4 linked regions of the Alligator mississippiensis genome follow. The protein of the gene in region 4 interacts with the protein of the main gene of each other region in a pairwise test. Links are inferred from orthologs where the notes say so. Each region holds a gene or a part of one and is shown on either strand. Other genes may lie near its edges.

Evidence for each region.
Region 1: the proteins of TAX1BP1 (region 4) and LGALS8 interact in binary tests that used the Homo sapiens proteins (3 or more experiments, as listed by UniProt). The link is inferred for Alligator mississippiensis from reciprocal best matches to the Homo sapiens genes TAX1BP1 and LGALS8.
Region 2: the proteins of TAX1BP1 (region 4) and CXXC1 interact in binary tests that used the Homo sapiens proteins (3 or more experiments, as listed by UniProt). The two-hybrid records come from large-scale screens. The link is inferred for Alligator mississippiensis from reciprocal best matches to the Homo sapiens genes TAX1BP1 and CXXC1.
Region 3: the proteins of TAX1BP1 (region 4) and PLEKHN1 interact in binary tests that used the Homo sapiens proteins (3 or more experiments, as listed by UniProt). The two-hybrid records come from large-scale screens. The link is inferred for Alligator mississippiensis from reciprocal best matches to the Homo sapiens genes TAX1BP1 and PLEKHN1.

The regions. Positions count from the first base shown.
Region 1 is NC_081824.1:153,842,942-153,850,645, reverse strand, and holds the start of LGALS8 (galectin-8), read right to left. Parts: upstream 3,019-7,704; 5' UTR 2,782-3,018; coding exon of another isoform or gene 2,779-2,781; intron 1-2,778.
Region 2 is NC_081831.1:27,528,972-27,536,837, reverse strand, and holds the start of CXXC1 (CXXC-type zinc finger protein 1), read left to right. Parts: upstream 1-4,855; coding exon 4,856-4,872; intron 4,873-5,104; coding exon 5,105-5,317; intron 5,318-5,791; coding exon 5,792-5,892; intron 5,893-6,320; coding exon 6,321-6,463; intron 6,464-7,866. Other genes in the region: synaptonemal complex central element protein 1, read left to right, coding at 1-74, 1,154-1,217, 1,491-1,557, 1,728-1,804. UniProt on the Homo sapiens protein: Transcriptional activator that exhibits a unique DNA binding specificity for CpG unmethylated motifs with a preference for CpGG.
Region 3 is NC_081836.1:9,515,049-9,522,065, forward strand, and holds the start of PLEKHN1 (pleckstrin homology domain-containing family N member 1), read right to left. Parts: upstream 3,005-7,017; 5' UTR 2,964-3,004; coding exon 2,770-2,963; intron 1,052-2,769; coding exon 952-1,051; intron 1-951. UniProt on the Homo sapiens protein: Controls the stability of the leptin mRNA harboring an AU-rich element (ARE) in its 3' UTR, in cooperation with the RNA stabilizer ELAVL1.
Region 4 is NC_081828.1:155,583,181-155,590,553, reverse strand, and holds the start of TAX1BP1 (tax1-binding protein 1), read left to right. Parts: upstream 1-4,360; 5' UTR 4,361-4,478; intron 4,479-6,346; exon of another isoform or gene 6,347-6,462; intron 6,463-7,138; 5' UTR 7,139-7,145; coding exon 7,146-7,322; intron 7,323-7,373.

The sequences.
Region 1 (7,704 bases), on a different chromosome or scaffold from region 4:
CCCCTGCGCCGCCACTGCTACACTCCATTCTCAGCAGCGGGTCCTAGCAAAAAAGGGTTGAGAACCACTGATCTAAGCATAGTGCCCTGCAGCCATGTTCTGCTAACATCAGTTTACCGGTTCCTAGCTCCTGGTGCCAGTCTCAGGAGTGACATCTGGCTTTCCCTCATTTCTTTCCAACCAAGTTTTCTTTCTAGGCTTTGGTTCCATCTCAGCTCAGCCTTCCTTTTATTCCTTATGGGTTCACCTGAATTGGACCAGTCTTCTTTGGGAATAGCAAGACCACTCTCAGGGCTGTGGCTGTGCTCCTAGTATTACTGCTTTAACAGAGGCCTAGTATTCCTTCCCCTAAAGTGGCATCCTCTAGAGCAGGTTCAGGACAGGGCTCCTACATAACACTGCTAATCCTCCAAGGGCACCTATACACGTGCTCTGAGGTGGGGAGGGGAAGGGGAGTGTTTTAATTAGAGCAACTCTCAGGAGCCGCTCCAATTAAAATGCCCACGGCATCTCATGGATTCAGCGTCCTGCTTTTCAAAATGGCAGCGGGAGCACTAACTAAAGTTCATTCAATGAATACACAAGATGCTGCAGCAAGCTGGAGCGTTCCGATTTGCACACTCCCACAGACTCAATTAATTCAAACACATCAGAGCACATGTAAAAGTGTCCAATACAGTGGTTTTCAACCTGTGGTCTGCAGGCTACATCTAAGAAGTCTGCAAAAGATGACTACGATCAATCAAAAGTATCTGAACACCGACACTTACAAATTCAAAGGGGTCTGCACCTCTATTTGAAATGTTTTAGGGGTCTGCAAATGAAAAAAGGTTGAAAACCACTGGTCTAATGAATAACATTTATCTGCATTTTTCAAGTTTGTAGTTCTTCTTGTGTCTCAGTATCAAAGAGACATCTTCCAACTGCACTATCTTCAGTAGGTACTAATGCAAAGCTAATCAGCATGGAAATTTAAAAAGCTGCCAGTTTATATACTTGCTGACCTAAATTAGGCAAAGTATGTTCACCTTGCATGTAAAACAGTGTTTCCCTATAGTTTCCAGACTTTCTCTCCTAACACATATGGAAAAAGATCTAATCATAGCTTGTAAACCAGGTTTACTATCACTTCCCCAGAATTTCATTTCTTCTCCTTGTTACTTAAATCAAAGCTCAGTTGCAAAGTTGCTGAATGTTTTGTTTACTAAAATGCCCCAAAACACAACATTTGCACTGTTAGAATTTGGTTAGGGTATCAGGATTTTGAAAAGCACCTCCATTCACATTCTCCCCTAACCTTCCATGGTGCTACTGCTGTTCAGAACAAGAAGTACAATTGGTTTATAATGCTGATGGATAATGATCACAAACAGCCCATATATGTATACATGGGAGGATCCCTTCACAGTCTTTTCCTGCCTAAGACCATGCTGATTTTTTGTCTATTTGTAAAGCACTGTTGGGCTTCACACACCCCAAATAGATCCTCTTGCACAGGTGAGCCACAGTGATTTAAAGTAGTAGTCTTCAACCTGTATTCCACTGGATTTCCACAATAGGTCGGCAGGAGTTCCACAAAGAAATGGGGGATAATGATGAAGCAGGCCATAAGGGAGTGTGTTGCCATTTCTGGGCTGGGTCTCCTGGCTCTGCATCAGCTCACACACCCTGTAGCCAGGGGTAGGGGTTCTACAGAAGAACAAGTGGCATGAAAGTGTTTCACTATTTTAGGAAGTATGAAAACCACTGATTTAAAGGACCTTGCAATGGAGTCTTCTGGGGACACTGTGAGAACTGTTGAACTAGCTCTATACTAGCAAGATGTTCTTTAGCTAAAGCAACAAAGTCCTATTGCTCTGGAGAAGGAGGATCAAAGCAGCCACACTCCCATTTCCTTCTACCTCTTTAAGGCTCACACAAGACTTTCAAATAGGTATGTCCTCTCTACACCGTTTGGCAGACTTCTGTAATGTTTCTCCTCCCCTACTCAGTGGTGTGTGCTGTAAATAACCTTACCCTGTTTTTTCACGTGTAGCTTCATCCCCTGCTACCAAAAAAGGGGCTTGCTAAGTTATCACTCACAGCTAACTCTTGGCCTTGCCCTCTTCCCAATGCCCAGTCCCACAATAGTAACTTAACATACTCCTCATCCTTATCCATCATTTACAAGCCAAATAGCAGAGTCCTAAGAAGTTTCTGTAATTAGCCATTTACTAAGGACAACTAGAAGATGACTGCTTGGCTTATGGCTGCTCTGGAAGAGGCAAGCAGCAGTCTCCAGGAGAGACAAATGCCCCAAAGAGTACATTAAATAGATCTACACACAGTTTTTTCTCAAAGCTGTACAGTCAGGCAAGGAATTATAACAACCAGAACCTGTGCCTTGACTGTCCCATTTAACAAAATTGAAATATGCCCAATGCTCTGAGATAAAAACGTTGCATAGTTAGTAACCATCACCAATTCAAGTCAATCTTTTATCCAGTAACTAAACAAAATATGCAATTCAAAAAAGTATGGACCAAATACTGAAAACATACTGCGGTGAAACTATTTCCACCAGGAAGCTACACTTGCTGCATAGAAGACAACACAAAAAAGAAATTCAAAATACATGAAAAGTGGAGATTAAAAAAAAATCACAACATAGAAGCACCCTGAAGTAGTACATTCAAGAACCAGTCCCTCTGTCTTTAACCTGAAGTCCTCCCAATTGACTTTTTCCTAGCCTAAGCAGGGATCTGTTCTAGTAGTAAAAATTACAACCTCTTTACTTACCATGCTGTACCAGAAGTCAGCTTACAAAGGTTGCATACACACATTCAAGTAATCTGGGAGAATTCCCCTGGTAGAAAGACTTAGCTGGAGACACCTGAACAGATATTCAAACCCTGAACCCTTGAAGAGTAGAGATTTTGCAGTGTTGATGCTGCACAGCCAGGGGGATCCTGTGTACACATCTCAGCATGCTCTGAAGGCTTCCTTAGTCTGCCAGGAGACAAAACGGTAGCAGTACATGGGGCATCCCTGATTGGCTAACCTAGCCTGCTCAAAGTGAGTCTGTTTCCCAGCAACACGATGTTGGATTGCAAAGGGGGCGTGTTTTGCAACCTGCTTGGCTGCAGCAGCAGAGTGTACCGAGTGACACACTGTCCCCTGAGGGGAGGGAGCAAAGCACCCTGGGATGCTGAAGGTAGAGTTGCCACTGCCACATCCCCAGAATATAAGACATCCCCCTTGGTGAGGGGTGGGACCACTGGCCCCTTTGGCCAATCAGCGGTAAGTGGCAGGACAACTGCCTCAGCCAATCAGCAGCAAGGGGTAGGGCCACTGGGATCCTCCACCTCCCTCTATCCCTGGCTAGTTCCAAACCCTGCTCCTCCTAGCTGTGCACTGCCCTACTTCTAGGCACAACCAATAGAATCACAAGGACAAATGCTTGACATGTATCTCCACCAATGAACTGAAAAGCAGGAGTTTTTGCAATCTGTTCCTCATTCAGAAATGCATAGGAGACAAAGGGTTTAAAAACAGGACAGTCCGGTATAAGAATGGTCACCCCAGCTGGAGGTCAATTCTGTGGCTTCTCAGAAGAAAATGCATATAAACATTCACTTTCCCAGGAGAAACTCTGTTGGGAGCGATTTGACCCTGGTTGTTCCCAGGTTATTTTTGTCCTAGAGTGTCCATTTTTGCTCCGAGAGAAAAATCCTAAATATCTGTATGCTTGTAGTTTCTCCTGAGAGGGCAGGAGAAAATGATTGTCTGTATGTGGCCAAAAACATGCATGTTCTTGAATATACTTCCTGCAGACAGACGTAGAAAGATGGCTGCTGATTAGGTATTACTTTTTTATGTTACTAAGGTAAGAGGCTCAGAAAAGTTACTTTACTTTGAAAACTAACCTTTTATTCTTAAAAGGTGACCAGCAGCAGGCTAGGCATCCATCCCAGCATCATACTGCTTTCTTCATGCTATTTCTAACTCCTGAAGGGAGATTTTATTTCAGAAACTAGGGATGTCATTGTCAGCACTCTATCCAGTTTGAGGAGTTAGAGGAAACGTTGTGCATTTTGCCTACTCATCTTCTCTGGGTTCATGTAGCTAAATAAGGTGCTTCATTACATATTCTGTACCTTGTTATCAGCACTGTACCTAGACTCCTGGTGGCCCCCGGCAAACTTTTAGTATCAGGTCCCCCTTCACCAGAGATAATAATAATAATTTTTAAATAACCATTTTGGGCCCTCTTTCTGTCTGGCCCCGGGTGGCCTCTTGGTTCGCCCAGGCCTGTGTCTGGCCCTGCTTGTTATGGGATATAGTTGTTGCACTCCATACTATTTACATGAAAAAAGAGAACGGTGATGCTTGGCATAGGTATATTGCAACGTTTGATGCATTTGGCTCCTTCCCATGAGAGATGTCATGTGTCTAATTTGTTACAGTTGCAGAATGGAAGTGGCGAAGTGGCCATCGGTTCATAAGGAGAAAGCATAAGACAAGCTTAGGGAGACAAAGCCTGGGTATGAAGATTTTAATTTGGAAAATTAGAACTGAGTAGATGAATTGTGGTTCATTTGGTGCAGACAGAAAAAAAGAACTTTAACTTACTTGAGCAATTAATTTTTTTAGTCACTGTTTACCTGGTAAGAGACTATATATAGTATGTAGTTTTTTCCACAGTCCTGTGAGTATTTTGATTAAGATGCCAATTATATTTCTGAAGCAACAGTAGCTGCAAAAAAATACCGTTATCATGGTATAATTCACAGAACCTGAGACTACATGTTAACTACGCATCCATTACAAAGCCATGTTGAGATACCGATCTCCCCAGCAACAACAATAGAAATACAAGAGGTGAAAGATCCAAAAAGCATACTCTGAAAACATGCTTTTTAATAGGGGTAGGAGAAGACTCAGACAGAAGATCACAGAGGCTTCAAACTTTGACATCCAGCTGAGCTGAAATAGCAAGTAAATTGTACTTCTTCCTCCCTGGCTGTTTATATCACTGAAAAAAATGTGGCTTAGATGACTACATTAAGCTAGGACTTTTGCTACTGCTTTCTTAAAATATTGGGATAGCTTGTGTGACGGGCTGGCTGGTAATGACTTAGACCAGGGGTTTTGAAAGGGCAAAAGATGATTGGAGGACTTGGGATTCCCTTTCCTCACCAATCTGGTAATGATTTGGCCCAGGGGTTTTGAAGGGGTAAAAGAATTGGAGGACTTGGGATTCCCTTTCCTCACCAATCAGGCCCCAGAGACTCAACCTCCAGGTCCCCTGATTGACCCTGTGGGTCACCTGGAGGGAGATAAAAGGGGCAGCACGGCTGATTCAAGGGAGACCAGTGAGGGACCACAAGGAAGGAGCTTCAAGGAGCTGGCAAGAGCTGAGCCAGCAGGGCAGGAGCAGTTGCCCCAGAAGAGCCTGAAGGAGTGGGACCTGCAGGCAGCACTGGGGTCCTCAGCAGTGCAGTATGCGGCTGGTAGGAGAGGTTCCCCACTGGGCTCCAGCATCCTCTATGAGAGGCTGTGGCCAGCAGGAAAGGCTCTCCAGCTCCAGCAAGATCTGAGCAGCAACCTGAGAGGTTCCCAGCTCTGCTTCCAGCTCCTTCAATCAGAGCCCAGGCAGCTCGATGTGAGGCTGGGGCTCCAGGAAGGTCAAGACCCCTCGCAGCTGGGAGCAGTACCAGCACTGGTGTGGCAGACTTTCTGCCTACCATGTGGGAGATCTGCATTCAAGTCCCAGCTTTAGTGACTTGGGGTGAGTGAGCCAAGGAGAAATTCCTATTGCAGTGGGAAGGGGCCATTGTGTTTTCCCTCTTTCTCCCCCTCCAGGTACCTAGGCCCTATATTCCTTGTAATTTGATATTTTGTACCTTTTGTATTTCCAGTAATACCAACCAGTGTTGTTTGTTCTGCTGTTTGTGTTTTACATTTTGGTGAACCCCGTCTTTTGACAACTGGATGAATATGTCTATGATTGTAAGTGTCTAACCTTTGTTTAATCCTGCCCCTTTAGGGCATTGTAGTGTCCCCTATGCCCCCCCCTGGTTTATACTGGCTATGTTCCCAGTATTGTTCCCTCATTAAAAGTTATATGGTTAAGTCCCCATTGGTGGTCTAGCTCTGCTCTATAGGGGGAGGAGAGTCCCTACACCTCCCACAGCGCTTGTGCTCCTGCTCTGCTCCCTTCAATTGGAGAGGGGGTACCTCTTGGAGTACCACCCGGGTTACACTTGTAACCTTATGGTTTAAGATGTGTGTGCTTTCTTCCATTTAATTTATAGTGTCATTTGGAGAGAGAGCTTCAGGTTTGAAGAGTGAGAAGTTGGATGCTCTAAGACCTCAGCACCTTTCAGGCACTGGGATGATAATCTTTAGGGTTCCTTCATGCTGACAAGTCATGGCATATTCCTCAACCCACTCACTTTTGAGAGCCTACCTTGACCTTCTCTTTCCATTTCCAGGAAGAGATTTCTCTTCTGAACCATCAGCCAGAGGTACCAGTGACCAAAAGGCTCTTCCAGAGCTGTGATGTTACTGCCTCTGCTGTGAGTCACTTCTTCACAGCTTTTAAAGAGGCTGTTTTACAAAAATACTTCTAAAGAAGTAACTTAGCTGAAGTTTAAAGATGAGCTTCTATTTATACTGAAAATTCCAGCAATAAGACTTCTCTGTAAACCCTGACAGCCAAACTTTCCCCAGTCATTTCTGCAGTGTTTTTCCCAAAGCCTATGCCATTGCTTATTAATGCTTACAGAAGCAGTTATTAGCTTTCCACATAAAGCAGAGTCTGTTCTAAGAACAAGCTTAAAACCACTGAAGATGAAAATGAAGAAATGTGGGTGCCTGTCTGGCAGCCAGCCAGCCAGCCAGCCAGCCAGCCAGCCAGCCACCTACGAGAAACACCTACAATAGACTTAGCCAGACCATCCAGCAAATTAAGCTTTACAAGTAATAATTGCTTAACTTATCTAATAAGCACATTCAGTCACATTTCAGTTTTTGACCTATGAAAATTCATGTGTAAGATCAGAAAACTGCAAATATAACTGTCGTCAAACATGTCAGAATAGAAATTAAGACTAGACTTAATCCACATTGGTATATGCCGTTAATATGCACTGTCTGTGATTTAATTCTGTTAATTAACAAGTGTTTGAATGATCAGGATCAGGAGCGCTCCATTTCTGGAGAACACAGGTTTGCTCCAACATGCCCAGATATGTCCGCTCATGGCTAAATATGGTCAAACACTGCCTCAAAGTTTAAACCCCTATGAGCAAGTTTGTCAAATATTTTTACTGTGACTTATAAAACCTAGTCATCGCTTTAACAGATTCTGACTACAGTATTGCCAACCCTACCGTGTCAAAAATCACGAGACAAACTCTTAAAATTCAAGAGATTCGGTATGTAATTCATGAGATTATTTTTCCAAGTGTATGTGTGGCGGGGGGGAGGGGTGCTTTTATTTGCAAAGGTGTGGGTGTGTGTGGGGTTTGGAGGCTGGGGAGGGTGGCACACTCTGGCAGGATGTGGGATACTGTGGGTCAGGGCTGTGGCTTGGGAGTGAGGGGCCAGACTCACAGATGGGTCAGGTCACAGGTCATGCAACAGAGCCACAGGTGGCTCATCCAGAGGTGTGGGAGAGGGGGGTAGTCAGCTCCCCGCCACTGTGCGTACCCCTGGAGA
Region 2 (7,866 bases), on a different chromosome or scaffold from region 4:
CAGGAGGTGCAGCAGCGCATCCAGGACCTCACCATGGGCATCCAGGAGGAGACCCTCAAGCAGAGAAAGCAGAGGTGCTACCCCTGGAGGCACGGGTCATTAGCTAACAAGGAAGCTAGGGGCAGAAATCTGTCTCCCCAGCACTGGGAGGGCTAGTGTGGGGGGTGGTCAGGAGCCCGGATGCCTGGGTTCTTTCCTGGCTTGAAGCCTGGTGGGTTAGAGCAGAGGGGCTGGGAGCCAGGACACGTGTACTATTCGGCTCTGGGAGTGCACTTGGGATGGGTGGGTTAGAGCTGGAAGCTTGGATGCCTGGGTTCTGTCCCAGCTCTAGTCAGTCTTGCATTCCTACACACACTTCAGTGTGTGAGTGCACACATGGGTATGTCCCAGATGCCTGGGGGTGGGTGGGTGTGTGTGTGTGTGTGTGTGTGTGACCTGGATGCCTGGCTTGTGCATGCATGTGTATGTGTGATAAACCTGGACACTGGGTTTATTTGTGTGTGCATGTGAGAGAGAGACCCAGATGCCTGGGTCTTTTCTGCATGAGTGGCGGGGGGTGTGTGTGTGTGTGCGCGCACGCACGCACGTGTGGCAGGTGCTTGAGTCTAGTGTGTGTGCATGAGAGAGAGACTCAGGTGCCTGGGTTCTGTGCGTGCGTGTGTGTGTGTGTGACCTGAACATGTGGATCATGCGTGTGTGTATATGAGACGGAGAGAGAGAGAGACCTGGACACCTGGGTTCATTTGTGTGTGTGTGTGAGACACCCAGATCCTTGGGTCCTGTGTGAGTGCATGTGACCCAGATGCCTGGGTTCTCTGTGTGTCACAGACACCTCAGTTGTGTGTGTATTTGACCTGGATTCATTTGTGTATGTGTTTGTGACCCAGATGCCTGGGTTCTGCATGTGTATGTGAGACACAGATACCTGGGTCAGTGTGTGTGTATGTGATATGCTTGGATGCCTTGGGCTCATTTTGTGCATGTGCACACGTGTGTGACCCAGACACCTAGGTTCTGAGTGTATGTGCATGTATGTGTGTGCCCCCACCCAGCTGACCCCTCACTTCCTGCCATACCACACACTCCAGGGCATCTCTGGCCGTGGCTGGGTACAATTCCTGTACCCCACAGCCACCCCCTCTTCTGCTTTCAGGCTGGAGTTTGAGCAGCAGCTGGATGAACTGATGGAGAAGCACAAGACCCTGCAGGAAGGGCATGTAAGAGACATGGGAGGGTCTCCTCATGGGGAGCCCGGATGCCTGGATTTTCTCCCAGCACCAGGAAGGGAGTGAGGCCCAGTTAGTTGGTTGGGAGCCAGGACACCTGGGTTCTCTAACAGCTTTGGGAATAGAGTGGGGTCTGGTAGGTTAGAACAGGGTGCTGGAAGCCTGGACACCTGGGTTCTCTCCCCATTCTGAGAAGACAGGGAGTCAGTCACGTGAGTTCCCTGGGTAATTAACCCAGAGTTAATTAATTCCCCCTCTCCTCAGACCATGGATAAGCTAGCTGTTGAGATCCAGAACATGTCAGACAGCTGGGAGCGGCTGCTGAGAGAAGGTGAGCAAAGGGGCACTTGGCATGATGTTGGCCTGAGGGGTCTGTACAGCACTTGATGCCTCCTGATCCTGGCCTGGGGTGTCTGTACAGTGCATGGTACCCCTGATACCAGCTGGGGGGGGTCTGTACAGCACCTGGCATGTCCTGTGACACCCTCCCCACTGGCCCAGATGAACTGATCCAGGCCAAGCTGATGCAGTTGAAGCAAAGTTGTATGTGCTGGCCCAGGCTGGGGCTGGCGCCGTGAAGAGAGGAGGTTCCTGAAGAGCCCGGAGGCCAGTGCTGCCCTGTGAGTGCCTGGGTTCCCTGGGAGAGAAGAGGGACTGGCGGGATTAGAGCAGGTGGGTCTGGGAGCCCAGATGCTTGGGTTCTCTCCCAATAGGTATCAGAAGTGGGAAGGTTGAGGGTCATTTTGCCCCCCAGCCTAGATCCCAGACACCTGGATTCTGTCTTTGACTGGGTGTGGAGTCTTGTGTTTTACAGGGAGGGTAGGAGCCAGGACTCCTTGATTCCCACTGCATCTTGGAGGCAGAAGTGGGGGCTGGGAATGGGCAGGGGATGGGAGCCTGGATGCCTAGGTTCACTGGGCAGTGAGAGAAGGGGGGACTAGGAGCCCGAATGCTTGGGTTCTCTGGGAGGGGAGTGGGGGTTGTGGGTGAGAACAGCGGGGACTGGGAGCCAGGACATCTGGCTTCTCTGGGATGGGTGTGTGAGCTTGGGGTTGAAAGCAGGTGGTCTGGATGCCTAGGTTCTGCTCTGTGGCTTGACTAGAAGGCAGTTCCGGCCCCCCATATACAATGCCAGATGTGGCACCCTGGCGTGGGGTGGGAGGATGTCTGGTGCTCACCCTCTGCCCTTCCCCAGACAGCTGCTGCAGCAGGAGAACCAAGGTGCCCATTCCCAGTTGGAGGTTGCCACCCAACGCCACTGCCAGGGGCTGCAGCGATGCAACCGTGAGGGATGCCTGGGTTCTGTCCAGTTCTGGGAGGGGAGTGTGACCTGGAAAGTTAGAATGGGGCTGGAAGGTGCCTGGGTCCTTTTCAGCTCTGGGAGGGAAGTTGAGCCTGGTAGGTTTGAGCAGGGGGACTTGGAGCTGGGACACCTGGGTTCTCCCTAGCTCCAGGAAAGGAGTGTAGGCTTGGTGGGTTGGAGACCTGGGGCTGGAGCCCAGATGCCACCGGTGTTCTGTCTGAGTTTTAGGAGGGGAGTCGGAGAGCAGAGGGGCCTGGGCAGCTGGACACCTGGGTTCCCTTCCAGCTGTGAGAGCTGGGGTCTCCTGGCAAGATCAGGCTGCAGCCCTGGTGGCCAAGCCTGGCAGCCTCTCTTGCCGCATCCCAGCTAGGGTGGGGTGAGGTGGGATTGGCTCCTCTCCAGAGGTGGATGCATTCTCTAATACTCGCCCCCCTCCTCCTTCCAGGCTGAAGGTGGAGCTGGAGGGCCAGGGGTGGAGGAGCAGCACCAGCAGGCATGTGGGCTGAGGATTAGGGTGGGGATGGAAGAGTAGATCCAAGATGTGTATGGGGATGGGCAGAGAGATGGAGGCATAGGGTGGGGGGATGTGTATAGGGATGGATGGGTGGATGAGGTGATGGAGGGAAGGATACAAGGGTGTGTATGGGGGGGAATGGAGGAATGATGTTTATAGGGCAGGTAGAGGGATGGTTACAGGTGTGTGTACAAGGACAGATGGATGGATACAGGTGTGTGTGTGTGTATAGGGATTGATGGATAGAAGGCTATAGGGGTGTTTTATATGGATATAGAGAGGGAGGGATGGATACAGGGTGTGTATGGGGATGGATGGGGTGTAGAGGGATGGATGTGGGGGGGTGATGTTTGGAAGGTATGGATGAGTGGGGGATGAGGGGAGGGAGGAAGAGGGATGGATGGATGGATACACAAGAGTATGTATAGGGATGGACAGGGAGGGATGGACACAGGAGTATGTATGGGATGAGGGGATGCCTGGACACGGGTGTGCATGGGGAGGGAGGGAGGGAGGGATGGATGGATGAGGGTGCAGGTGGATGGAACTGTGGGGGGCAGGACCTTCTCTGTCGCAGACCACCAAGGAGGGCAAGTCCAGTGCTGGGCCCCCATTGAGCTGGGTGCCTGTACCCTGCTTGTCCCCCCCCCCCCCCCCCCCCCCCCCCAATCTGCCCACAGCTGGCACCAGGGACCAGAAGGTGGCTGCGTGACACCAGGATGGCACCCTATGTTGGAGTGAACCCCTATTGTCTGGGCATTCGTCCTCCCTCCAGCTTGGTACCAATAAAGCCATCACCCACCCAGCATCTTCTCACTGCTGTTGGGGGCAGGAATGGGAAGGGTGGATAGCCCTGACACCTGGGTTCTCTTCCTGCTCTGGGAGGGGAGTGGTGGTACTGGGGAGGGAGAGCTGGCAGGGTTGGGAGCTTGGACACCTGGGTTCTTAGGGAGGGGAGTGGGGGTTGAGCATCCATCCCCATACACTCCTTTAGATCCATATCCATCCCTCCCTTCATCCACATCATATCCCTGGAACCAGAGATGACCCAAGCAGGGTGCAGCCTGTGCAGGGCCCTGCCCCTGCACGCCCTAGACCCAAAGAAGCTGGTGGTGGATTTGGGGGGTCGGGGATTTCCGAGCAGCCAGACATGAAGCCGGCAGCAGCAGCACTCAGTTGCCGTGGCCGCTCTGCCCAGTTCTGTGGGGGTCCCAAAGTGCCGGGTTGGGGGTGGCTGCCCCAGCTTGCCCGCTGCCTAAGGACAGCCGTGCCTGGAACCATCTCTTCATCAATCCCTAAACATGCCCCTCCCCCCATACCTTTGCATCTCTAGCCATCTGTCCTTCCCCATATATACCCCATATCTCCATCCATTCCCATACTCAACCCCGATCCATCTCTCCATCGCTACACCCGTTCTATCCCTCCCTCTATTTACCCATCCATCTATCCTTCCCTGTAGACACCTCTGAATCCATCTCTCCCTCAAATCATTCTTTCTTTGACTCAATCCGTCCAATCCGTTGGGTGGCGTTCGATTCAACGTGTCTGGTACTTGACACAATCAAAGATGGCCACACCGCAGTGTCATAAGTCAGACGGCCACATAGTAGAAGCGGTGGCGGCCATGTTTGGTGCGGGTGGAGAAGCGGAGCGCTTCTGCTGGAAGGAGGGGCCATTTTGAAGGCGGGCACCCTCGGCCACCTTGAGTCCGGTCCCTTCGCCGCTCTTAGACCTCGGCCATGTTTGAAGAGGGCAGAGGAGCGACTAGGCGCTGGGTGATGATCAGTGGAGGGGTTCGAGGCAGGCAGGATGACCCGGAAGCGGAAGTACCGCGGAAGTCAGAGATTCTTTCGAGTCCCTTGTTTTGTTGGTTCCTCGCAAAACAAGGGACCCTCAGCGGCAGCTATGGTGAGGGGTCCCGGACACCTGTGTTGTGTGGGTGGGGGGAAGGGCTGGGGCTTGGATGCCTGGGTTTTCTGGGAGTTGGGGGGGCATCTCGGACACCTGGATTCCCGTGAAGGGGGGCGCTAGGAGACCGTGCGCCTGAGTTCTTGAGAGGAGGGGTGTGTCGGACATCTGGGTTCTCGGGGGCGGGGGGTCGGAGCAGGGGAATCCTGGACACCGGGGTTCCCTGACCCTGCCTCGCCCCCAGGACAGCGAGTTCTCGGACGCGGAGCCGGCCGGGGCGAGCGAGGAGACGCGCTCGGAAAATGGGGAGAAACGCGCCGTTTACTGCATCTGCCGCAAGCCCGACATCAACTGCTTCATGATGTGCGCGGGGGGCGGGGCCTGAGCCACGTGGGGCAGTAGGGAGCGGACCTTGAGCCTGGGGACAGGGTCTGAGTGAAAGGAGGAGGGCCGTGAGGGTGGGGACGGGGTCTGAGCCTGTGTGTGGGGGGAGCATGAGGATTGGGGGCAATCTCTGCTTTGAGGGGAGCCTGTTGCCCAGAGGTGGGCTTTGGGGGCGGGGCCTGAGCCATGGAGGTGGGGCTTGTGCCCTTGGCTGGTGGGGGTGGGGGGCAGGGCTGGAGCCATAGGATTGGGCCAGAGATGTTGGAAATGGGCGGGGGGGGGGTCAGCCTGTTCCACAAGGATAGACTATGGGGTTGGGGTCTGTGCCATTGCAGGAAGACTGTGGGGTTGGGTGTAAACCAAGGATTAGGATGGGGCCAGGGATTTGGGGTGGGGGGCATGGCCTTGGCAGGGTCTCACCTCCTGCTCCTCTATTTCCCCGCCCCCCCATAGTGGGTGTGACAACTGCAATGAGTGGTTCCATGGTGACTGCATCAATATCACGGAGAAGATGGCCAAGGCCATTCGGGAGTGGTACTGCCTACAGTGCCGTGGTGAGGGACTGGATGCCTGGGTTCGTTGGGAGGGCAGTGGGGGCTCGTGGGTTAGACCAGGGGGGTTGGGAACTGGATGCCTGGATTCTTTTGGGCGGGGGGAGTGAGAGTAGTGGGGTAAGGGGCCTTGGCGCCTAGACACCTGGATTCTCTAGGAGGTGACTGGGAACTGGAGGGTGAGAGTAGGTAGGGCTGAAAGCCAGAGGCCTGGGTTCTCCCCAGGTAGAGGAGGAGAGTTGGGCCTGGCCCTTGAGAATATTGGCTGCTGGAAGCCCAGATGCTTTTTTGTTCTCTGAGAGGAGAGTGAGGGCTGGGAGTGTTAGAGCAGGAGGTGCTAGGAGCTTGATGCCTGGGCTCTCTCTGGGGGAGCTGGGTGGAGCAGAGCAGCGAGGGCCGGCCCAGACTGCTGGGTCTCTTTTTCTCCCTAGAGAAGGATCCATCACTGGAGATCCGGTACCGTCACAAGAAGTCAAAGGAGAAGGAGAGGGACCATGAGCGTGACCGACCTGATAAGGATGATCTGCGTAAGAAGGCCCAGGAGCTGGGCATAGACCAGGCCCGTGGATCCAAGGTGAGGGGGCAGGGCTAGAGGTGCAGCCTGGCCTGTGGAGGTGAGGTCAGGCAGGGAATGACCTCACAGCATCTTCTAGGTGCTTGCTATGGAACTTTCTGCCCCCCCCCCCCCCCACCCCCCCCCCCCCCCCCCCCCCCCGTTCCATGTCTGGACAGGAACCAACAACTGGCTCCAACTGCCATCCAGGCCCTGGTTGGTGGGTGGAGTTAAGGGGGTAAGCCCTGGCCAGCCCTTAACTTCACTCTCCTCAACTACATAAAAGCTAAGGGTAAGCCCTGGCATTGACTCTTTGATTCATTGCCTTATCTGGCATTGGACTGGTGGGCAGAGTTAAGGGGGAAACTGAGGTTGTGTCCTTGATTGGCTGCCTTATCTGGCATCTGGTTAGTGGACAGAGGTAGAGTGAGCCCTGGTCAGCCTCCGATTGGTCCCTTTAGCTGTCATGTGATTGAGTGGATTTAAGGGTAAACCCTGGGCTTGGGTCTCTGGTCCCATCTAATTTGTGGGCAGAGTCAAGGAGAAGCTCTGGCCAGCCTTTCTGAGTGGATATGCGGTAATTGGCCAGCGTTAAGGGTAAATCCTGGGCTTGGGTCTCTGATTGGTCCTCTTGTCTGGCATCATATTGGTGGGCAGAGTTAAGGGTAAGCCTTGGGGATGGCTCTCTGTTTGGGCCCTTATTTTGTTATTGGTTGGACAGTTATGGTTAATCCCTGGCTAGTGACTCTAATTTCCTTATCTCATGTCTGATTGCTGGGTAGAGTAAGGGTAAACCTTTGCTGGCCTCTCTAATTGATTGATTGGTTTCATTATCTCGTTCAGTTGGTGGACAATCAGAGAGCCACCCCCATGGTTTTCCCTTAACTCTGCCACCAATCAGATGTGAGATAAAGGAATCAACAACACTGTCCAGGGCTTACCCTTAATTTAGCCCAATCAGAGTCAAGATAAGGGACCACTCGGCCAACCCTGGGATTTACCTTTAACTCTGCCCACCAATCGGATGTGAGATAACAAGCCAAAGTTAAGGGCAAGCCTTGGCCAGCCTCTTTAAACGGTCCCTTATGTGTCACTCCATTGGTGGAGTTAAGGGTAAGCCCTGGCCAGTGTCTCTGGCCCATTATTCCTCATGTAATTGGTCAGCACAGTTAAGGGTAAACTGTGGGGTTTCAGTCTCTGGTACCTTATTTCACATCTGAACATCAGGCAGCGTTAAGGGCAAACCCTGGCCAGCTTCTCTGGCTCCCTTATCTCATTCCTAATTGGCAGGCAGCGTTAAGGGCAGACCTTGGTCAGCATCTCTGATTGGCTCCCTTCTCTTTCACTTGATTGGTGGACAGAGTTAAGGGTAAATCCTAGGGTCGGGTCTCTGCATGCTCCCTTATTTTGCATCAGATTGGGCA
Region 3 (7,017 bases), on a different chromosome or scaffold from region 4:
GGACAGACAGGGATTTGCGTTCCCTACATAGGTGACAGGTGCCTCTTGACTCTGGGGGGGGCACCCACAGAAGCTGCTGCAAGCAGGGATGGAGTTGGCGGTGTCAGCAGCGGGGATAGCCATGTCAGGGTAGGGGGGGGCACATGCCCCTCTGTGCCCCTCCCTACCTTGCACCTATGCTTCCCTGCACCACCTCATTACAATGCACCTGTCTAGCAAAGGTCTGGCCTGGAGCCTGCAAGTCCTCACTTTTGTTCCCAGCATTGCTACTGACCTGCTGTGCAGCCTGAGGGGAGAGACCGTTTCCCCTGCAGCTCTGTTTTCCCTGCCCTGGGCCTGTCCTGCCTTTTGACACACTCAGCTCTATGGGGTCAGGGACTAGCTCTCATAGAAGCCCCCCTGCAATGGGGAGACATCTTTGTGGGGCCTCAGGATGCTGTCGTAACACAAACACGCCAGGACTCAGAAGCTAAGGAAACAGGGCTGGGTGGCATGCCAAGGACAGACTTCCTTCTGCTTCTCACCTTCCCCAGACTTATTGCTAATGGCCTGGGTGCTGCCTCTCATTCCAGCGTGGGAATGAATCATCCTCTCTTTTGTGTGTTCTCTATAATTTTCCTCCTGTTCTTACTCTGCCCAGAAACAAGAGCAGCAAAGGAAGAGCAATACATTCCCAGCTGGCCTGCCTCCCTTGCTCCCAGCCCCGCACCCCTATTCCAGATGGGTCAGGTTGATGGCAAGGCTTCCCAGTCCCCACCCAGAGGTGGCTGCACCAGAATCCCAGAGCAGGCAACCCCCAGGAGCTGGGACTGAAGCCATCTGTTCATTTGGTCCCCCTCACACAGAAACCCTTATCCGCCTCGCATACACAGGTTCCCACGCACAGGTAAGCCCTACAGCGGGCCAGAACACCTTCCCAAGAACATGACGACTGGATGTGTTGGTACTTGCCTTGCCTGGAATATATTGCAGTATTTTGTCTGTGGTGATCTCTCTCTCCTGTCCTGATTCAATGCCAAAGAAGCTGCTCAGTTTTTTCTTGCTGTCTTGTCTACAAAGAAATAAAACACTGAGATCAAAGCTAGCAGGGAGCAAATTCCTCAGAAATCAGGGAGAAAGGGAGAGTTGGCCATCCTGCAACCCTCCCCAATAAAGGTCTATAATTAGCTTGCAAGAATGTTAATTGCTTCTCTGCAGCACTTGTTGGCTTTTCTTTGTGTTGTTTACTTACCTTTGCATAACTAAATGCTCAAGAGTTTATCTCCAGCACTGTGCAGATAACAGAGGGGGCAGCTTGCAGATAGATCCAGTGGGGATGGTCTTCCAACAGCCTTCAAGGTGGGGAGGGATGGATCAGATCCTCCCAGGGCTCACCCCACACCCATACCCACCCACTTTTCTTTTCCTCTTTGTGCCTGCCCTATCTCATCCTTCAAAACTAGAGCAGAGCTCCATCCTTCCTGCTTGGTACCTGCATCACAAGCACACCTGTGAACATGCATGGTGGCAATGATCTAACATGCATCTCGAGCAGGGACTCATGGGCTGTTTTAGCTCTCCTAGCCAAATGGCAGCATGAATGCTCTCAGGACCAAACTGTCACCTGCAAGGGGCTGGAGTGGAGATCCCATAGTGAAGGCAACATAACCCAGGGATGTCAGGGGAAGGGGAAGGTACTTGACACCTGACATGGTTCAACCTTTTCACTGTAAGCTTGTGGCCAGCTCTGGTGGGTCTAAATTCTCCTCTCATTTATACCTGCATTAGCCCAAAGCAACTCCCCTGAATGCTGTTACCTGCTCTACACTGGTATGAAGGAGAGGGAAAGCAGGCCGGAGCAGACCAACAGGGGTTGGGGATAGCATCCCAGAGCGGGGGTGATTCATGCCACTGCTCTCACAGCGTTGCCATTTGCATCTTCAGACAGTGATGGGGAAAGAAATTGCAGCACTTGACAAAGCTAACGCCCCGGCTGCAGCCCAGAGCTCGCATTTGGGGCAGAGCCCTTTGCAGATTCCACTTCTCTAGCAAGCAGCAGCACAGACAATGCCAGGGGGACTGAATGAGCTGGCACGATTGCAGAGGTGGGCAATATTTGGTAAGCGCAGGCTGCAGACTCAGATTGGCACTGCCCTCATTTGGGTTTTATGCTGTTGCCCATCACCCTCATGTCAGGGCACCTTGCAGGGAAATCAGCAGCACAAGTCCCTCAAGGGGATGCATCTGGAATGGTTTCCCTTTAGGGGTTAAACAAAAAAGCACAGCATGAATCCAGTAATTCAAGCTGCCTGGATTTGGAGCGTTCCCCTCTAAACCAGCTCTGATGCTGGTGCCTGCAGTCGCTGACATTCTTATCCGCTGATGAGGCAGTGCCGGAGGTCTTAGGAAGAAATAAAAAAAAATAAAAAAATCTCGGGGAAAAGGAAGGACAGCTGTTTCACTGTCCCCCACGAGTGCCATGGAGAAGTTTTCATTTCTAAAATACAATGGTATAAATCACTGTTGCATAGAGGAGGCAACAATATGCAGCCGCTCGCCCTCCAGAGCTCCAGAAGTCCCACTCTGGCCCTTGCCCTACCTTGATCTTGTTCACAGCTGTCCAGCCTCATGCAAAACCATGCAGAATTCATATTTGCTAAGCCCGAAAGCAGCCCCTGGGTGCCCTGAAACAGTCTGGGTTACTAGCCCAGTCTCTGCTGGTGTACTGCAAAGGGGGAAAGCAGCAGCAAAGCTTTAAACCCAGTCCTAAGTAAAAGCGAGCATACTTACTCTTTCTTCAGCGAAGGTTTCCTGCTGAACGAGTGTCTGAACGAGTGTCTGAATCTCCCAGGTGGCTGGGGAACACAAGTTATGTTCCCCATATTGAGAGCAACTGGGATAATCCAGGAGCAGCTGGGAGTGAGAGCGCTAGGCAGAAACTGAGCGAGCGAGTGTGGAGCCAGGGAAGTTTGTGAGTGTGTCATGCAGACATTCCCCACTTCCGTCTGCAGTGACTCTTGTGGGTGTGATCTGTGAGCAAACAGACTTTTGGCCAAAGGCTGTTACTGGGTTCCCTGCCTCCCTCTCCCTTCCCCTCTCCACCCCCGCACAGGGCTGGTAGCGGGGAGCTTTGCTATGGAAATGGGAGGGATGTTTCAGGTGAACCAAAGTGTTTGGAAGTACCTGTGATCTTCCCAACTCAGGCTGCGGAGGAGGGCAGAGGAATTTGGCAGGGAATTGTAATCACTCTTAGACAAGGAGGATTCTGCACAATGAAGCATTTACAACTCACAGTTGACATCTGATCCCTAGCCAGATCCCTCGACTAAGCACCACAAAAGCCACTGAGGCTGGCTGGAGGCAATATTTCAGGATTGGGGCCTCGAGCGCACAATGGGTTTGGTGCCTGTGTTCAGATCTGCATTTATTTTTCTTAATAGTGTCTCTGTTGGCAAAACCTACTGCATTCACAGAAGTGCTTCAAACAGTTGCATCTTCAGACTCAAAATGTGGTGCCTCCAGCCTGGGGGAATTCGAGCTTGGACCTCACCTGGAGCGCCAAAGAGGAAATGATCGCAGAATTAAAAAGGTGTCTGAAGCAACCATGACTTGCTGACGTGTTATTTGCAAACAGAATAAAGTCCAAGCCAGCAATCTATGGACCTCGCATCTTCAAAAGGGCTGGCTTTTTCTGCTGAAAACAGTTTTGAGCCAAATCAGCTGAAAGGAAAGGACTTAAAGAGGAACAACAGGGGGGATTAATGAGGAACTGTTCCACAACATCTTACTAAATGCTCAGACAAGGACAACTGAGAAAGAAGTTTGCACTGGTGAAAAAAACCCACCCTGGCTTACAGGGGAAGTGAAGGTAGCTAAACCAACGAATGAATGGGGAAAATTGGTAACATTCCTTATGAAATGGAAGCAACAAGGGATGGCCAAAAATTGATGAGGGAAGCAAAAGGCCACAAAGGGGAATGAATGGTCTGCAGAAATGAAGGACTGCAAGTGGGAGGTATATTAGGTATATAAGGAATCCTAACAGTGGCACTGGTCCATGACTAGATGGAAATGGTAGAAGTGTCAATAATCATTCCAAAAAAGTTAGCAGTGCTGAATAAATATTTCTGATCTGCCATTGGGGAAAAAGCAGATGTAGTCATATCACATGATAAAATACTTTCCATTCCAGCAGTAACTTGGGAAGATGTTAAAAGACTATGTGTAAAGCTAGACATTTTCAACTAAACAGGTCCGGATATAACTTGCATCCAAGAGTTTGAAAAGAGCTGGCTGAAGAGCTCTTGGAACCACTAATGCTGATGTGCAGTACTACACTGGAGAAGTCCCAAAGGACTGGGAGACAGCTCCTCTCATGCCAATATTTAAAATTATATCTATAGATTGGCCGGCCTGACACCAGCCCCAGGCAAAATAATGGAGCATCTGATAAAGGACTCCATGAACAAAGAGTTCAGAGAGGGTAATTAACACTAGTCAATATGGGTTGGAGGAAAATAGGCCTCGTCAAATAACGCAGTATCTTTTTTTTGGTGGAGAAATGTTCGAAAACAGCTGGGAGCATTGCTGGGGCACTGAGCTGGCAGGGATCTTTCAGTTTTCTTTGGAGCCACCTGTGAGCTTTTCTGCTCAGATGTGGAGGAAGGTAGAGGAGCAGAATCCAGGCTGTGAGGCACCTGACTTGTATTCTGCATGGCAAGTGATTGAGAAACCAGCACGTACATATTGGCATGGCACAAGAAGAACTTAAAAACTGCCTAATGCCTCCCAGTGTCATTGGTAATGGGGGTGCTTGTGGGGCCTTACAGGGGTGAATTTGGATTCCTATATTGTTCAACAGATTGGTCAATGCCCTGGAAGGAAACACAGGGCACATCTACACGTGCACATTTACTGCGCAGTGACCAAAATTACTGCACAGTATGGGCACACGTCTACATGTGCACGCCCATACTGCATAGTAAATATGGTGACTTATGCTGACTTGAGCGTAAATTTGACACCAGCATCATGCAGGTATCAAATTTACGACCAATTAGTTACTGCGCAGTAAAACACATGTAGACGCCTTACTGCGCAGTAAGACTGTGTGGGTGGACTGACTTGGGATTAACTTTAGTCCCAAATCAGTCCACACACAGCGTTAATGCACTTTAACATCTGCATGTGTAGATGCCAGCCTATTCCGGCTTACTGTGCAGTAATTTACTGAGCAGTAAATTTAAGCCAGTGTAAATACACATGTAGACATGCTCACAGAGTTGTTGCCAGTGCCTTTTTCAGATGACACTGAAATGGAGAGAATGACCAGAAATGAGGAGGGCAGGTTGCTGTTGCTGGAGCATTTGGCAGGCTGGGTCCATGTGTGTTCCCGTATTGCCAAATTAAGTCCTTTGTCTAAGAATAAAGTATACCAACTACCCTTTTTGGGGAGGGGTGCGGGGTGCTCCATCCAGGGAAGCAGCGACTCTGCGAGAGTTTTAGGTCACAGTGGATAAGGCATTAGACATGAGCTCTCACGTCAGCCTCCAAGAGATCCATGGAGGTGTTAACACAGGAATCACAAAGGGAGCAAGGAGCTTACATGGTTGCTTCTGGATCCACCCCCACAAGGACACTGGGCCCAAGTTTGGTATCTGCAGTTCAGGGAGGAAGCAGAGAAACTGGAGAAGGTGCAGAGAAGAGCCATGGTAATGACTCCAGGGATGGAAACCTGCCTTGTAAGGGAAGATGCAAGATGCTCAATCTATTTTGCTTGTCAGAGAAGAGACCAAGGAGTGACCGGATTACAGACTTTAAGGACCTGCTTGGAGAACAAACATTGGATAATCATCTAGTTGACGAAGGCAGAACTAGGTCCACTGGCTGGGGTTGAATCTGGACAAGTTTGAACTAGAAACAGGGCACAGCTCTTTAAACACCGAGAGCAATCCATCACTGGAACAACTGACAAGGGGCAGCAGTGGCTTCTCCATTACTGGAAATTATTATACTCAAGGCTGGTGTTTTTCTAGCGGTTAGGCTGAGGTCAAACAAGAACTGATTTAGGGAAGTCTTCTGGGCTTGAGTTATACAGGTTACATTAGGGGATCACCATGATCCCCTGTGGCTTTGTAATCTATTCATTTCCCTATATGTAATTCAGTGCCCTTATGTTGTGGGGCTCCACTGACAGGTTCACAGACACTTGAGAAATACACTGTGTTGCAGGGCAGGTAAAAAATTTGACTTGTGGGAAAAGACTGGGTTGATTGGTTTAAAGAACTGGTCCCTGGTGTGGGAGGAATCAGGAGTGAAATGGGTGTCAGTGGGTTACATTAAAAAAGGCAGGACAGGGTGGGGTTTCTGCAGGGCAAGGCAGGAATAAAAGCATTTTCCAATGCTGGGCTCCACTCTGGAACAACCTGATAATAACAAACCAGGCTTCAGGAGAAACTGCCACAAGGCTGTTCCTGGAGCTGCAGTGCAGGCGCTGGGGACGAGCCCTCCTATAACAAACCCACATAGAAGGGTGTCTTGCAAGGCCAAGATAATGGCAAGGAAGAGCGTTGCAGCTGCATTCATCCAACTGCTTATTGCAAACAGCAGCAGCTGATTATTGCAGCTGGGGAAAGCACCCTTCTTCTGCTAAGCGATTGTGGCAGTTTGATCACATCTCTGTTCAGCAGCCTGCGCTTATTCTTAGTAAATCCTGACAGCCCACGAGAATGACACAAATGCCCCCTGTTCTTGTAGATCCTGCAGACAGATGCAGCTGTACTCTGGGGGACCTTTGTTTCCAAGGCACCCCCACACTGGAAACAGTGTGCATGCATTGGTTTTGGACACCTCTAATTTGCTGGACTAAACAACAGTTCCCCAAAGTCCTTTTCACTCTCATCCCAGTGACAGGAGGGCTTCACAGGGGCGGCAGCAGATGGGCTTCATGCTTTGGAAAGCTTTATGCAACCAGTGGTTATTTATAGACAATGAAGACCAGAGTGAGAGCTTGGACAGCAAAAACAGAGCGGGCAGGAA
Region 4 (7,373 bases):
GACTAATTTGTACCCTGCCCTGTCTTCTGTCTGACTTCAGATTAACATGACTACTTATCTCTACTAGACATGTTATGAGCAAGTTATTCAAACATTTGACACAGATGCTTTAGTCAGGGATGATCCTGTCTTGAGCAGGTGGATGGGCTAGGTGACCTGCTTCCTGACCTTCCTTCCAGCCCTATTTCTCCATGATTCTGTGATTAATATAACCAATTGCAGTTGCATATTTGTCTAAACTGATCATTAATTAAATAAGAAATGCGAAAAAAAAATGGGAAGTATTTACCAAAATGTAAATCTGATTCCAGGACTAGTATGACCTCACTCTTTTATCATATCATCATGCTTCCTCAAAATAACCCACAAAAGGAAGAGAACATACATTCAAAGTAAAGAGATAAAGTTCTGAGGAAAAGAGCTTTTCGGTAACAAATGTGCTGAACAAAGTCCATGAGGCTGATTACTTTTCAGTGTTCCTAGCCACTCAATCCCTCTGGCAGGGAGATCTAGTTGGAATTTATTGCTAGTGTAGGGAAGGCAGTATTTCCAGGGTCTACTTGGGTAAATAGTAGATGCCTCTAGTTTTAATAAATGATCTAGTGACAAACGGTAGACTAGGATTATGAATCAAAATCTACTAGGATTGACTAGATTTAGAAGGATTACAAGTCATAAAGAACATAGCCCCCCAAAATGACTCTGCTTCTGTTTCCATCACACTCTCACTTTGTCCTTATACATGACTATTCAGATTTGGACACTCCCTATACCTACAAATGCATGGCACCCCTATGAGCACACATATCGCCCCCCTGTATGCCCGTATATTTATAACATACCTTGAAGTCACTTCCTTCACAGCTGCCCTCTAATCTCTTTAGTATGCCTAAAAAAAAAATTGATGACATCATCAGGTGGACACATGGAAAGGAATCTCTAGAGAAATTCCACCAGGACTTTAGTAATCAGGACTCAAAGTAGAGATGATATCCTTGATTAGATCCACAAGATTTTTGCAAAAAAAAAAAATATTTTTTTTTAATTAGAAATTAATGAATTAGTGCTGAAAAGCTTGCACTTAAAGATTTTTTTTTTTGCAAAAATCTTGTGGGTCTAATAAAAGATATAATCTCAACTACGAGTCCTGATTGCTTTTTCCTCTAGGCCAATATGGCTACAACCTGGATACCTGACACCAGGGCTGTAATAACTTTCATCCTTCCATCAAACTGACTCTGGAATACTCCACCTAGAAAATTAATTTCTTAAAAAAATATGGTGAAAGTTTACAATGTCAACATCACCACCACATTTTATCAGAAACCAACTGGCTGCTTGCTACAGCTACCTCTATACCATCAGCTTTTACCCTAAGCATACCACTAGTTCCATCATTCATAGCCAAGTTCCGTGTTACAACTATATTAGCTCTGATCCCACCAACCAGAATGAATACCTCAAGGATATGAAGCAAGGATTCCTATACTTACAACATAATCCAAAAAATGTAGTCTTGCAAATCAACAAAGCCACATTCAGATTCCATTCCAACTTTCTATAGGACCAACCCCATGAGCAGGACAACAGAATCCCTCTTGCCACCTACAAACTTGAATACCTTGGATGCAACATTAATGACCTCCAATACTTCCTGGAAAATGATAACCATCTCAAGGCAGCTGTAGGAGGCTTAGAGGCATCCCTCAAATCTCAAACAATTTATCTCCAGTAACAGATTACCTAAATCCTACTCTCATCAAGGCACCAGGCCCTGCAATGGACCCAGATGCCAGCTGTGCCCCCTCATCAACAGGAATCACATCATTACTGGACCAAACAAGGGGGATTATAACATCTGGGATTCATGTACCTGTTCTTCTACCAATGTCATCATGTTGTTGGCTACAAATGTCCAACTCGGGATCCTTAAAATTCTAGTTTATTAGGCAGATTGAAACACTGTAATCATAAACCTTGGGGATGGTCCCCACACACACACACACATGCACACACATACACACACACAGTAGCAGGCTACAGAGTCAGGTATACCTATCCTACAAGCGCTGGAGTCTGTTGTTGAGGCTTCTTTCAGCGTGGTGTTATCTTCCAGAAGGGGGTCACCGGCTGGTCCTTCTGGCTGGACAGGTCTGGTTGAGTTGGAGATCAAGAGGACGCCACTGAGGGTCACTTTTCACTGCCTTTTATCTGTCCTTGGCAGACTTTGGTGACTCCCCAGTTTTCAGGTTTGCCCAATCCAGGGGTCATTGACCCTCGTGGGACTTCCCCCCCCCCCTCGGTGGCTACTGGATGGCATCTGTCAGCCCCAGGGGTCGTCCACATGTACGTGCAGGTTTGGGAGTCCATTGATGAATTTAGAATAGGGCTCTGGGAGTGGCCGATCTGGAGATATTCAGCCCAAAAGTTGGTCTCTGGCGTTGATTAACTCAGGCCAGGGCTTCTAGCCCTTGATCAGTGAAGTTTAGAGATTTCCCGGTTGTTACATTGTCTTCTATTGAGTTCTTCCCTTGGTTGATCTGCAGCTTCCAGGTGATAATTGCTGTCTGGTGTTACTGTGTTACACATTCAATCACCTTACACATTCAATCACTGATTCACTCTCAGGGGCCAGCCTGATACAAGGAAGGGCAGTTTGATTCCTGCCCTTGTTAACATTGTTACAATGTATAATTTACTTATGAAACTAAACACATTCAGTTGAAAGTTGAAAGGTGAGGAGTATAAAATATAAGCTACAAATGCCATGGCACACAAATAGATAAAAATACCAAACTACAAGGGGAGATACAAAATGCACACACACACATTTTAAAACACAATTCCTTATCTTAAAGTGAAAGAGAGAAGAAGGAAGAAAAGGTAGAAAAAGAGAAACATATCCAAAGAGGGGAGAGCAAATGCAGGCAAGAGAAAAAGGGGGCTTTCTGCTACAATGTGGTTACAGTGCCCCTCTGCTGTCTATATTAGACAAATGAGGCAACCCCTCTGTGAACCAATGAGAGAACACCCATTTGACATCAAGTCCAAAAAAGGACAAAAGCCTTTAATCTTCCTGGACTTTACATTGCTAACCTCAGAGTAGCTGTTCTTATACAGTGATACTTTAAAAGTTGACTCAGACACAAAATTGCAGAACAAGAAATCATTCACAGATTGGATTGTGTTAAGTATGGTCTAAACAGGGACTATGGGTTCTTAACCCATTACCTAAAACAGATTGTTTTACTGCTTCATATACACCCCAAAGGAATTGGGGTGGGTCTCGGAGAGGAAGCATGTCTAATTTATGCCATGCCTGCCAAAAACAGTTGACCCCCATGGATGATATATGACAATGTTATGGAGTATCTGGGCAAATGCATAATTTCTGCTCTTCCCTCACTACTGGATAGGTTTGGAAGGATGTTTAGCGGAGAAGGTGGGATGACTATGGGTGAAGTATTGGTTGCCAGGCTGTGAGCATGTGATGAAGTCTTAGGGCTAAGTGAAGTTCATGGGAACAAAGGTGCAGTGGTGTGGTCAGTGTGTGCCGTGGGCTATGTGTGTCTTACAGGGGTAGTGGACAGGTCGACTTCTCACCTGTGATGAACTTCAGCACAGTGTTTACAAACACAAGCTGTCCCTCACACTCAGGGAAGTGCTGAGTTAGGGGGTGACTCACCAAGGTTACTGTATGTGTTTGCACCTGGTGGGGGCAAAGGGTGTTAGGGGTCTGAAGCATGAAACAGAAGGCTAGCTCCCCACTGACTGTGTGTAGATGCTAGGGGTGAATATGCATGTTTGTGTGTGGGGGGGATCCCTAGGGTCCCCCATCTGTGCTTTCAGGAAGGGGCGCTAAGTCTGGCTCCCTGGGGCTAGAGGCCCTGCTAGAGGGGCACCCTTTATGTAAAGTTTAGATGACTGTTTGTATGGGACGGCTTGGATAGAGACGATCCTGTGTTAGACAGCGGGTTGGATTAGTCACTACATGAACTCTGCAGCTCCCTTCCAGCCCCACTTCCCTATGACTATGCCCATGGCCCGGCTCCACGCATGCGCGGTCCTCTAAGCCTGAGCTCTAGCTCACAGGACACCAGGCACACGAGAGCCGAGAGGAAGAAGCGGTGGAAACCAGGGCCCGCTTACGCAATTTCCTCTCTATCCCGCCTCTCCAGTTCCGCTTGCGTTTCGGGACTGGGAAGGAGGAAAGGGAAGTGACGAAAAATGGGTTCGCAGTGAGCCCAAATTCCCTGCGGCGGAGTGCGCATGCGCACGGCTAGCCATCAGGGCCACGCAGCTGCTGTGGTGGTGGTGGTGGTGGTGGTGGCGGCGGCGGCGGCGCCGGGCGAGGGGGGAGGGGCACCTGCGCATAGTCGGCCCCGCCTTCGGGTTCCGCGGGGGCGGGGCTGGAAGTGACGCAGCGGGGCAGGCTGCGAGGAGCCGATGGCGACGGCCCGGTGTTGACGTCCGCACAGGTGAGGCTCCGCACTGCCCTGGCCCTCGGCAGTCTGCCTTCCTCGCCCCGCGCCAGCCCCGGCAGGCCCGGGGGCGGGGGGGCAGGTGGTAGCCATTGGGCGCGGCGGTTGGGGTCACCGCCTCACGGGCGTTGGGCGGGGGCGTCCTCAGGCGCTTCCTGCCTAGCGGGGGGGGAGCCGCCCCGGCTCCGGGTCACGGTGGCACCGGCCCGACCGGCTGCTCCGGTGACATTGACCGCGCCGTGACCGCCCCGGCCCCCCGGAGCCGCCGGCGGTGGCAGTGACGCTGCGGGCGCCGCAGTGCCCGTGTGCTCTCCCCCCCCCCCCCCCGCGACCCAAAAGCCACGAGCACTGCGTCGCTGTCATACGAAACCCGGTGGGAGCCGGTTTGTTGTTTCAGAGTTTCCCTGTCAGACCTTGCAGCAGGTCTGGCTTATCTCTAGCTGCCTGCTGCTGAGCACCGGGGACGGCGGCCTGCACAGCTGGGCGCTGCTGAAGCTGGTGGGAGGGACCCAAGTTCCTGCCAAACTCTGGGTGCTGGGGTTGGGTGGCTCAACCTAAGCTGTCCCTTCCTTCCCAGCATCTTTAGCACTGCCCCAGTGTCTTCCTTTCTGCTCAGTTGGCTGTTTGTGCAGGTCCCTATTCATTTGTGTCCAGTGAAGTTTTGGTTGTACCCTAGGCCAGGGGGATTACTGTAAGGCTATAAACAGGCAGCCCTTAATGCTTAATCAGCAGATTGGTTCAGGGTATCACTGCTATCAAAACGGGTGCTGACAGGTGCAGCTTAAACGGTAATTTATTCTTTTTTCTAAGGCAAAGTGTTAATTCAGGTACTTCAGAGGTACTTGATGTCCAACCGTGGGCTTGTCCCTCTAGGGCCTGTTGTTCCCTCTAAGATGCAACGCTCACATTGGAATCAAGCTGGTTGTCTGTTTTAGCCCTGTCAGTTCCAGGTTTTATTTAATGCTTGTGTTGATGAAAGCGGAAAACTGCTGCTTGTTTCACATCTAATCTACCAAAAGAACTTGCCCTTGTTTTTTAGTACTTGCTTGTGTTAATACTAAATTAGATGGTAAGAGGCTTAAGAGCTGAGGGCTAGAAATCCTTGCATGGCTTGACAGAACAATGTCTGTTAATCCAGTTGTGCGTGTTGTTTGGGGAAAAACAAGCTATCTTTTTTGCCGGCTTTTAAGAATGAATTCCAGCAAGCCGGCAGGAATATTCTAGGAGGTGATTCTAAGTCTTTGTACTTTAGTGGGGGCTAGACTGGGTCCTCTTGGATGGTATTTCCATTGATTGTGGGGCTGTTGATTTTGAAACTATGGATGAGTAATGTTTGAATTTTTTAAAATCGAAGCCTTGATTTAATCATAGTTTTCAACAAAATGTGCATTCTTGTTGCTGATCTCCTCTATTCATTTAACTTCTTGAAACTTTGCAGATTTAGAGAGAGGTAAGGGCTTGACTTTGTGTACACAAACTTGCAGAGACAAGAGAGGTGATGGGTAGATACTCAGGTCTGTTATCTCTCATTTTCATATAGCACTGTTATCAAGGATGTTATCTGGAGATAGGCAGGTCAGGTTCTTTGGGTAGATGTGATATCTTTTATTAGACCAGTTCAGTAGTTGGGAAAATATTTGTAACATTTGGCAATTTGTGTAACAAGTTCTTTGCAAACTTTCCGGTGCAATCACTCTTCAGGCATAGGGAGACTCCAGAATCTCTTGTGTAGTTGAGATAAGTAGAGAGCTGTTTGATGCACCCCATTTAGATGCATGTTAGTAAGCACTGTTTGATGTTAATAATCTCTTAAATGAAACTAGTACTTTTACCAGGGTAAAAAACCCATAATTGTACTGTTTCAGCTACGTCAAGGACTACACCTTCCCGTCTGCTTTCTCTGCCATGACATAGCGAGGACATCAGCCCTACTAGTCTCCTTTCCAGATCTAGAAGAGCAACAACCAGAAGGAGTTTTAGGGTGAGAAGATTATGGGAATCCCTCATCTATTTTGCCTTCTTTTCTTACATATCTAGCATAATTTAATGTCAAGTGTGTGTTTGAGCCCTCTTATTTCCTTTGTTTTTCCACATAGGGTGGCAGTCTTTTCCTTTCTTGCTGCCCAAATGACCATATTTTGTTGCCTGATGGTGTTTAAATTCCAAAAATGTCACATGCAGGCTGGCATTCTATTTTTGGCATACGTGGCTATTCATACATGTAGGGCTGCACATGCAGAACCAGAGTGCCAACCTGCGTGTAAGTGGCACTTTTGCTTGGCATTCAGAAATAGATGCTAAGGATGGCATTCCATTCTTTTCTGGATTTAGAGGCACCTGTCTGGAATGCTTGTCCGAGTGGCTTTTTCTGTATGGGTCTCTCTCTTTCATTTGCATTTCTTTTGGTATACAAGATTAAACTATATTTTCATTTCCGAAAGTGGTCACTCTGGGTGTAGGCTAAGCCAAAGAGAGTGCTTTGAAGCAGTCTGTGCGCTATCTGTAGATGATGTTCTGTGATTGAAGGAATTCATTTTTAGTGCTTACCTTAAGAAATTAAGTTATGCCTCTTTCCACTAAGTTAATGTTTAACTTCTTTTAGGAAAAGTATTCTTCTAGTAAATTGTTTCTCAAATAATAACTTTGTTATGTTACAGATCAGTCATGTCATCCTTTCAAGAAGTTCCATCTTCAAGTAATGCTTTGCAGACTTCCAACTTTGCACATGTGATCTTTCAAAATGTGGCAAAGAGTTATCTTCCTAATGCACACCTTGAATGCCATTATACTCTGACACAATATATCCATCCTCACCAGAAAGATTGGGTTGGTATTTTCAAGGTAAGCAATTGGTACTCTTTCTCCCCCCTCTGCCCCCCTCCAATATGTTGT